2 linked regions of the Coturnix japonica genome follow. The protein of the gene in region 2 interacts with the protein of the main gene of each other region in a biochemical or structural test. Links are inferred from orthologs where the notes say so. Each region holds a gene or a part of one and is shown on either strand. Other genes may lie near its edges.

Region 1 (4,599 bases), on a different chromosome or scaffold from region 2:
TGCCTCAGCCTTCAGTGATAAGTGAATGCTTAATATATATTGTATTTGCTACCTTTCAGTCTTTTCTCATGGCTGTCAAGAATACGGAGTACAATTAAATACATGCATATGAGTATTGATTAAAAGCCCTCTTTAAACTAAACAGGTAATCAAAAAAAGGGCCTCCCCCCCCGCCCCCCCCCCCACCCCAAAAATAAATTATGCAGTATTTTTCCTTCCATACACAGAATATATATCTCAGAAAGATACCAGTATGTGATGTATAATTATGGCTGACTTGTCAGCTGTCCTTACTGCTACGAGCAGACAGCCTCCCTTCGGAGGATGATGAAATCAGAAGGCTTCTTGAGTAAGCGCATGTGACAAACCACACTGGTTGCTGATGGCATCCCTGTGCCTCCACCAGATTGCTCCCTACTCATTTAGTGGGACAGTGGGACTGTCTCTAAAAACCGTACTTTTTAATGCATTCTGAACACACTTTAGGTATTTCCAGATTGCTTTTTTCTATAAGAGAAACTTACAGTACGTCAGTGTATTAAGCAGTTACACCATTTCTGCTAAACTACAGAAATTCTGAGGGCGGGCTATACAGCACACTGTATGCTCAGAATCAACCCCAGCCATCCCTGTGGCCCATGTTATGAAGGGACACATTACAGGAGGGCTGAATTTGGGCCCCAGACATTCCACCTGCCTTTCTTCTTCCACTTCTGATCTCTGGGTTATGCATGCTCTTGACCTGGACTGATGATGGAGAGATGACAGTGGGTGTTGAGAATGACCTGGCTTCTTGCCCTCAGTCTCACTCAGGCACAATCTCAGCCCATGCTTATTGGGTATCAGAAGAGTATAGACAGAATATGCTAAAAGCCATTGATTTCTTCCTTCCAAGTACAACCCTAGAGAAGGGTAGCTACAGGAGACAGGGCTGTGTCTCAAAAGAGAAGACTTGTCTCCGTGTGTCAACTTTTACACCCTTCACCTCTGTGAATACTATTACCAAAGTTGACAAAACTATTTTCTGGAATCAGGCAAACAGAATTGGTCCATGACATAAAGGTATAACGGCATGGTCACGTGTCACTGTGTTTTCAGAAGAAAAGCTAACAACCTGTGAAGAATACTACACACCAACAAACCCACTCAAGGGGTACTTGTTAGTTTACAGGATTGTAAGAAAGCTGCTCTATAATACCTTGACTACAGCAGCTCCAATAGGAGCAGGATCTGGACTTGTTTTGTTCTCATTGATCATTTTCCTTTGGATATACATTGAAACTTTAAGCTAATAATTGACCTACCACACTGTTAGAGCCTATGCATGTTATCACTGCATCGATCGCCTGATTCTAGCCCAGAAAAGCAAGGAAACTGAGAAAGAAAAACGCAATCCTACATTGTATGCTCAGTCAATAACCTCCCTACACCCATCTTTGTCTGACTGAACGTACCAGGAGTTTTGACAGTGGGCCAAGTCCTTGCCCTACTGCAACCGGCACAAAGTTTGCCGCAGCTATCAAAGCAGAATGGAGCTGTGCCTTTACTACAGCACAATAAAAAGCCGTCACCCCACGCGACCCAGGCTCCTGCAGAGAGCTTAGACAAAACCTCACTCTGAACGTTCAAATTCTGGAGCTGGCAGCTTATCTCTGGGTTTACAAAGCCAAGTTTACATCCCTGATAATGTCTACAGGATATGCTGACATTGCTGGGCGAAAAGCGCAAGCCAGCGGCGGGTTGCCAGCAGGTCACTGAGCTCCACAGCCACAGATGTGCTGTATCTCAGGTTGGAGTGAGACAGCAGGGCTGAGCCATCCTGATGCCCCTTTTGTTTGTTACTACCTAAGAGACTGTAGTACCCCTGTGTCTCTGGGGCTTGTTTGAGTGGCAGTGACATGAGCGCATCTCCCTTCCAAAGGAAGCAATTATTTTTTTCCCTAAAGTATCTGAGCTGAACAGCAAGAAACTATTCAGATCCAGTGCCCTAACTTCATCTGTTTCTTGTGCAGCCACCAAACGAGAATACTTTCTAAACAAACTCACTTCTGGACGACACTGCATTTTCCACATGAAACAGGCACTGTACATTCAGGACGATGTCCTTTTGCTGCTGCCCTCTAACAAACCCCACGGCCACCCGGGCAGTGTCAATGCCAAGAACCACCGACCCACGGCGAAAAGGAGGGGACACCCCAAAGCCCCGGCGCCAACAAAAACTCCCTCCCCCTCCCTCCTTGCTCTGCCATTCTCGGCCGGGGGCTCACCTGCCCATACAGCCGCCCCGCCTCGTCCATGCAGAGGTAGCGGGAGCTCCGCACGCCCTTGATGGCCACGGTTCGCACCGCCACGGCGCGGATCTCCAACAGACCTGCGGGGAGAGGGAACGTGCCGTCAGCTCCGCGCCGCCGCCCACCCTCCCGCCCGTCCGTCCCGTCCCGTCCCGTCCCGTACCATCCCGTCCCGTCCCGTCCCTTAGAGCCCAGCACTCACTTTGCGGGCTCTGGCTACCGACAGCGTCCACCCGACCGTCGCCGCCGATGCGCAGGAAGCAGCTGAAGAGCCCGTGCTTGCTGGCGGTGTAGAGGTGCCGCAGCCGGATGGGTTCCCCCCAGCCGTAATTGACGTGCGGGCCCGCGTCGGGCAGCGGCAGGGACCTGGCGGCGGCGGCGGCGGCTGCGATCCCCAGCAGCGCCAGGGCAGCGCCGGGGGCGGCGGGGCGAAGCCCCATCCGCGGCGGCCTCGGATTCAGACTCGGGCTCGAGTCGGACGGCGGCGTTGCCGCGGGCGTTGCAGGGGCGGTGCGGTACGGGGTTGGGCGCTCTGTGCAGCCGGCGGTGTCGCGGGAGGGATGTAGCACGGGCCGAGCCGGCCCCCCGGCTTTTTATAGGCCTCCGTTATCAGCCCGATCTGTTCGGTCGCATCCAGCTCCAATATAGAGCCCGTTTCATAGCGGGAATTGGTCGGGTCGGGTCACTCCCCCCGAAAATATTGATTAGATGACATCATGTCGCAGGGGACACCCTGGAGGAGTCTCTCCCTCCCCATCGCATCTCCGAGCTTTCCCTCGAAGCTCATCCGCGCCGAGCCCCTGCGAACCGAGCTGCACGGGACGGGACGGGACGGGGCGGGCATGGGTAGGATAGGGTCGGGTCCTGTAGCCCCGATGCGAGCACGAAGCACGGGAAAAAGGACCACGGGTGCGAGACCCAAAAGGCACCAGCGGTCACGTAGAGGTGAGGGAGCAGCTCGCCCACTCGGGGGACATCACTCCGCCCGCCCGGCTCTAGCGCTTGTCCATCCTATATTCCCATTTCAGAACTAAGCTAGTTCTACACTGGGATGCTCGTGTAACCCGCCCAGAGAAAAGAGCCGTGGGCAGGGCAGATCTTCACGCTTGAGCTTGGCGGCTCCGGGGCTCCGCGGCCACCATCCTGTTTTCTCCCAGCTGGCGCCGCTCCGCCGCGACGTGAGCACGGGGTGAGAGCGGCCACTGCCCGGCACCGGAGCGACGCCCGGCCCGGCACCCGCTGGCTCGTCAGATCTTGACACGTCCCGGCACAGCATGGCACGGCACGGCACGGCACTGCATGGCACGGCACGGCACGGCACTGCATGGCACGGCGCCTCGGGACGGACCGGCGCCGCTCCCGGGCTGCTTTGCCACCCGGCCATCCCCGACTGTACCGCTAGATGGAGCCGGGTGCCCGGGTGCGGGCTGACCTCTCCGTCGGGTATCTGCTATTGGGGTCTCTGGCCCATCTTCCCATTCGCGCAGAGAAATCGGCAAAAAAAAAGTGTGCGTAACGAAACCGAGCAGAGGCCAGACATAGGTATCAAATAGGTTTGTATGCTGACGGCTTTTACCATGCTGGGGTTCACCCTGTGAATGCACCAGGCAAGTGGGAGAGCAGTACTATGTAATCCATATGTACTATGTTTATCTTTTTCAGGACACTTCAGGGGACTGCTGCTGATTTTCCTGTTATCTATCCAAACTGAGCATTATACGAATTTTCTCATATCCCGAGAGGGAAAATAGGCACCAGTAGGATTTCATTAAATAAAAAGAAAATTCTTCTTCCATAGGACACTCGAACTATCAATTAAGCAGAACACAGCCCCATACCCCTAGCAGAATTTCAGAAGCAAGCGAGCAAAGAAATAAATCCTTTCAAATTTCATTGCCTGATTATTTTTTGTCTTTCTATTTGTACACTTTCATCTTTATCCTGTGCGCACTCCTGCAAACATCTCTCCTTTTTGAGCAACCCAAGCTCGTTGAGGCTGAGCAAATAGACAAGACCATGTGACAGTACAGAGCTTTATGGGTTGATAACCCACTCTTGTATGGATGGACTTCTATACATCCTAACCGTGTGCACCCTGTGGCACTGAGGTTTGTCACACTGATTAATCAGTGCCTAGATGATCAGGGCCTTGCAGCACCTGCTCCCTGCAGCAAGAGAGTTGGGTCACACCAAAGAAGCACGGTTTTCTCATATGGCTGATGAGTCATTAATGAAAATGAGGGTCGTTTCACTTCCAGGTTCCTCCTGCTGCACCATCTAAGTCATGGGTTGACTTGAGAAATCCTGT
Region 2 (4,527 bases):
CCAGGTCCTTGAAGCAGAGCTGCTCCTCGTGCAGCTCCGTGATGTCAAAGGTGTAGTCGGGTGTGGGGGGCCGCCGTGCCCGCAGGTACTCACGCAGGTTGCCCTTGGCAGCAAACTCCACTATCACATAGAGGGGCCCTAGGGAAGACACACAGCACTCAGCCCTGCCCCATCCACCCCAGCACCCCCCTGCCCCTGAGCCCCTCACCGTCCTGCGTGCACACTCCTAGCAAATTGATGATGTTCTTGTGCTTGTCCATCAGCTTCATCATCTCCATCTCGGAGATGAGGTCAGCCAGGTCTTTGTCAGTGGCGTTGTCTGTTGACAGAGGGCCGTGTCACTGATGCTGGGGTGGCACCAATGCAGCAGCCATGCCCAGGACGCCACAGCACGACTGATACCTTTGAGCATTTTGACAGCCACGGTGACAGCTCGGTCCGGCCACTGCCTGTCGATGCCGTACGCCTCCGCCCGCACCACCTGCCCAAAGCAGCCCTCGCCCAGGGGCTTCCCCAGCACCAACCTGCCAGGGGAGGCAGAGCTGTGAGCACACAGTGGGGCTGACCCTGCTCCAAGCCCATGGGGCACAGTGCCCCGGCACTGCCAGCCCTCTCCAGCTCCTTACTTTTCTCGAGGGAATTCCCACTTGGAATCCAGGGGCAGGTCCATCTCCACGACGCCCGCCAGCATGGGGGCACAGCTGGAGGAGAGGCGGGTGACACGCATCAGCGACGTGCTGGACTTCCCTGATGAGCTGGAGTCCAGGGAGAACTGCGGGGACAGCACAGCAGCCCTCAGACACCTGGGAGTCACACTGAGACCTGGTGCTGCTGAGAGCAATGGGGTGAGGGCAGCCCCAAGGACAAGCAACAGGGACAGGTGGCAGCAGCAGGGCCAGTTGTCACCAAGGTGCCCCCAGCTCAGCCCTCACCTGTCGGATGAGTGGGAATTTGGAGAGCTTGTGCACTGCCATGGGCTCCAGGGGCTGCTTGCTCGACTGTGTCTGCATGCGGCACAGCACCACGATGATGAGGGCCATGGCCACAGCCAGCGAGCCCGACGTGTAGATGATGATGTCGGTGTACTTGGCCTCGGAGGTCTCAGCTTCATGCACCAGCTCTTCTTCTAGAAGGAGAGCACACGTCAGTCCACACCACGGTCCCCATGCTGCTTTCAGCCCTAACCCCAGCTCTAACCTCAGCCCTACCTGGGAGCACAGTGAGCCACGCTGACTGGTAGGAGAGGCCGATGGAGTTCCCTGCCAGGCAGGTGTACTCGCCTGCGTCCTCCATGGTGACATTGCGCAGGTACAGCACCTCCACCTCGGAGCTGTTGATATCTGCGGTCTGTGGGCAGAACGAGGGACCGTGAGCATCCCTGTGTGGGGACAAGCTCCATGTGACCCTGCCACCCCCCAGCTGCTACCTTGAGCACTTGCACGTAGGGCACCCCGTCAGGGCCATAGCTGCTGCCGTTCACCTCAATGTGCTTCAGCCACTGGATATGGGGCTGGGCATCGCTGTACACCTTGCAGAAGAACTCCACGTCGCTGCCCACCAGGGCAGTGGTGTTGGCAGGCAGCCCCGCCTGCAGGATGGGCCGGTGCGGGGACCTCTCTGCACACAGGGCATAGGGGCAAAGTCACACACAGTACCCAGGGGGGTCCCAGCCCTACCTCCCTCAGGTGCTGGGACACGAGGGCTGCTCAAGCAGAGCAGATGAGGATGGGCTCCTCTGCCTTCATCCCCTGCAGCCCATCCCCTCTCGCCAGCACAGTGGCAGCAGGGACCCCCCTGGCACCACCTGCGGACCCTCACCCAGCACATCCAGCAGGTAGCTGTAGCGGATGCTGCCGAACCTGTTCTCCACCAGACAGGTGTAGTTGCCACGGTCCGAGGGCACCACGCTCTCCATCACCAGGCTCCAGTGCTGGTGCCGGAGCTGCGACGGGGAGCAACAGGTTCAGGGGGCTGCAGCTGAGCCAGACACCAGGAGGAGAGGATGACATGGGGGGGGGCCCTTACCCGTATGCCCCCGATGCGGTGCTCCCCCCGGAACTCACGTCCATTCTTGAACCAGCGGATGCTGGGGCTGGGGCTGCCCGAGGCCGGGCAGCGGAACTTGACGGTGTTCCCCGCAGGGACAGCATACAGCTTCTTGTCCATGCGGTGAGGGTGAGTCCAGTACGGTGCTGGGGAGAGACGGGGGGCATCGTGGGATGTGGCTTATGGCCTCGGGTGGGGGCTGCCCCCAGTCGCTCCCCCCATGACAGCACTCACCTCTGTGCACATAGACCGGCTCCTCGCTGCGGTCTCCGTGGGGACCATCCCCATCACTGTCTTCATCGTCATCACCCGATGCCAGCGAGTCTGCAAAGGAAAGCGGGTCACGAGGGGTGCCCCTGTCTTCAGGATGGGGTAAATCAGGCTGTGCTCCCCTCAGTGCTGCTCCGGGCCCTCACCCACTACAGAGATGGTGAAGTTGTGCAGGACTTCCCCGGTGCCCCGCGCCCGACACACACACAGCCCCGAGTCCTCGTAGGCGACCTCAGAGATCTGCACTGTGCCCGGCTGGAGGCGGACGCGGGGCCCCGGGAGCAGCGGCCGCGACTCCTTGTACCAGACCACAGTGGCACCGCTGCGGTTAGCGTTGCAGTGCAGCTTCAGAGCATTGCCCGGCTCCAACAGGAGCTGCTGCTCCTCCGACTCCAGCAGCGGGCTCTCAATCAGCTCTGCAGCCCGGGAGAGACGCGCTGAGCGCCGCGCACAGCGCCCCGGACAGCAGGAACCCACCGCGCTTCTCGGCGTGCACAGCGCACACACACACACACACACACACACACACACACACACACACACACGTCCTGGCCAGAGACGCGTGTACAAGGGCTGGACTCTGCCCCCGGGCGCTGGGACAAGGCTTCCCCCGCGACCGCCTGGCACTGCCGCGTTCCCGGCCAAGGCCACCCACGCCACGGTCCTTCCAGAGGGGTCTGCGCCCATTCTGCCGTACTGGGACGGGAAGGAACCGGGAGCGATCAGCGTCAAAGTTCCACCACCACCTCCGGCTCCCCGCGGACCCGGCCCACGCTGGTAAAGCGGCTCCAAAGCAAATATTCAGCTCTGTACTAAACTCAAGAGCCGCTCGGAGCAAAACCACCGCTGGGACAAACCAAAGCAGCGACGGTTCGGCCGCTCCGGGACCCGCAGCCCCCGCCCTGTCCGCGTGTTCCACGCGCCGCCGCCGCGCCCCGAGCCCCGCAGCTGTCAGCACCGCGTGCGCCCCACCGCACCGCACCGGCACCGCCCGCAGCACCCAGCCCAGCCCGCAGCCGGGCTGCCGATGCTCGAAAGCACGAGAAGCGGGGCCGGGAAAAACCAGCACCGGAGCCGCCTTCACCCCCCCAGCCGTCCCGTCCGTACCTGGCTCCATCTCCCCGCGGTGCGAAGCGGCCGGGCCGACCGCCAGCAGCAGCCCCGCCAGGACGAGCCAGAGCGGCAGCATCTTCCGGGCCTCCCGTGGGAAGCGGCACCGCGGCCAGGAGCTGCGGCGCCCCGCGACCGTCGGGCAGCGCCGGCTGCGCGGAGCCCCGACGGCGCGGCTGCTCCGGCTGCTCCGGCCCCGCACCGGCCTCGTCGGGGAGGGCCCGGGCAAAGTCCTGCGGGGCCGGGCGGGCTCCGCTCAGCGCCGCGGCCCCATGGCGGCCCCGACTCTCGCCCCGCCGCGCTGTGCCGAGGGCGCGGGCACTTTGTAGGGCGGCGCTCGGGTTACGCGGCGCCGCGGGCGGCCTCGCCGGGGGCGGCCCCGGCCCCGCCCGCTGCCCGGGACCACGTCACGCGCACGAGGCGCGTTCACGTCACTCGCGTAACGTCACGGCGTGCGGGGCCCCCGCGATCCCCCGCCCCCGGGTCCCGGCCGTTTCTCGGCGCCGCCCACCGCCCGCAGCCCGCAGCCCCCGCGGCGCGTTGCTGGGCGCCGTTCCCGTGGCTGGGCGCTCGGGCTAATTGCCGCCGCTGCAATTAGCGCGGCGTTATCGCTGCCGGGGCCATCAAGTGGCCGTGACCCCCATTAGGAGTCCATAAGGCTGCGTCGTAAAACACCGCGGGGCTGCGAGGCGGGGCCGGCCCGGCCCTAATCCGTGCCATAAACACCTCTCCGCGGAGAGACCCCCGACACCGGGAGCGGTCCCGGCCGCGTCCCGTTTTCCCGGTCCGTGCGGGAACGAAGCCGGGAGCCGAGCCCCGGAGCTCCCCGCGGAGCCGCTTTGAGACGGTGCCGCGATGTTGCGCCGTCCGGGGGCTGCCGCTGTCCCCCCCCGTTGCTCGGGGCCGTGACTCCGGGTTGCAGCAGCGCCGCGTGCTGTGCTCGGCCGCTCCCTCCTGGGGTCCCGCTCCCTTCCCGGAGCCCCCACGGCCGCAGCCCCCGGCAGCTGTTCCGCACGGCACATTCCTGCCGGCGCGTGAAGCGGACGAGAACATCAATTTCACGGAGCAGCAGCCGCCTCCACAGGGCTTTGAAAAGTGCCG

Evidence for each region. The genes of interacting proteins can lie anywhere in the genome.
Region 1: the proteins of FGFR4 (region 2) and FGF19 form a complex in vitro, tested with the Homo sapiens proteins (2 studies listed by BioGRID and IntAct). The link is inferred for Coturnix japonica from reciprocal best matches to the Homo sapiens genes FGFR4 and FGF19.

The regions. Positions count from the first base shown.
Region 1 is NC_029520.1:7,237,816-7,242,414, reverse strand, and holds the start of FGF19 (fibroblast growth factor 19), read right to left. Parts: upstream 3,067-4,599; 5' UTR 2,732-3,066; coding exon 2,494-2,731; intron 2,372-2,493; coding exon 2,268-2,371; intron 182-2,267; exon of another isoform or gene 1-181. UniProt on the Homo sapiens protein: Involved in the suppression of bile acid biosynthesis through down-regulation of CYP7A1 expression, following positive regulation of the JNK and ERK1/2 cascades. Stimulates glucose uptake in adipocytes. Activity requires the presence of KLB and FGFR4.
Region 2 is NC_029528.1:12,076,974-12,081,500, forward strand, and holds the start of FGFR4 (fibroblast growth factor receptor 4), read right to left. Parts: upstream 3,019-4,527; 5' UTR 3,004-3,018; coding exon 2,463-3,003; intron 2,371-2,462; coding exon 2,281-2,370; intron 2,193-2,280; coding exon 2,026-2,192; intron 1,943-2,025; coding exon 1,819-1,942; intron 1,618-1,818; coding exon 1,427-1,617; intron 1,348-1,426; coding exon 1,209-1,347; intron 1,127-1,208; coding exon 933-1,126; intron 773-932; coding exon 627-772; intron 525-626; coding exon 403-524; intron 320-402; coding exon 209-319; intron 139-208; coding exon 1-138. UniProt on the Homo sapiens protein: Tyrosine-protein kinase that acts as a cell-surface receptor for fibroblast growth factors and plays a role in the regulation of cell proliferation, differentiation and migration, and in regulation of lipid metabolism, bile acid biosynthesis, glucose uptake, vitamin D metabolism and phosphate homeostasis.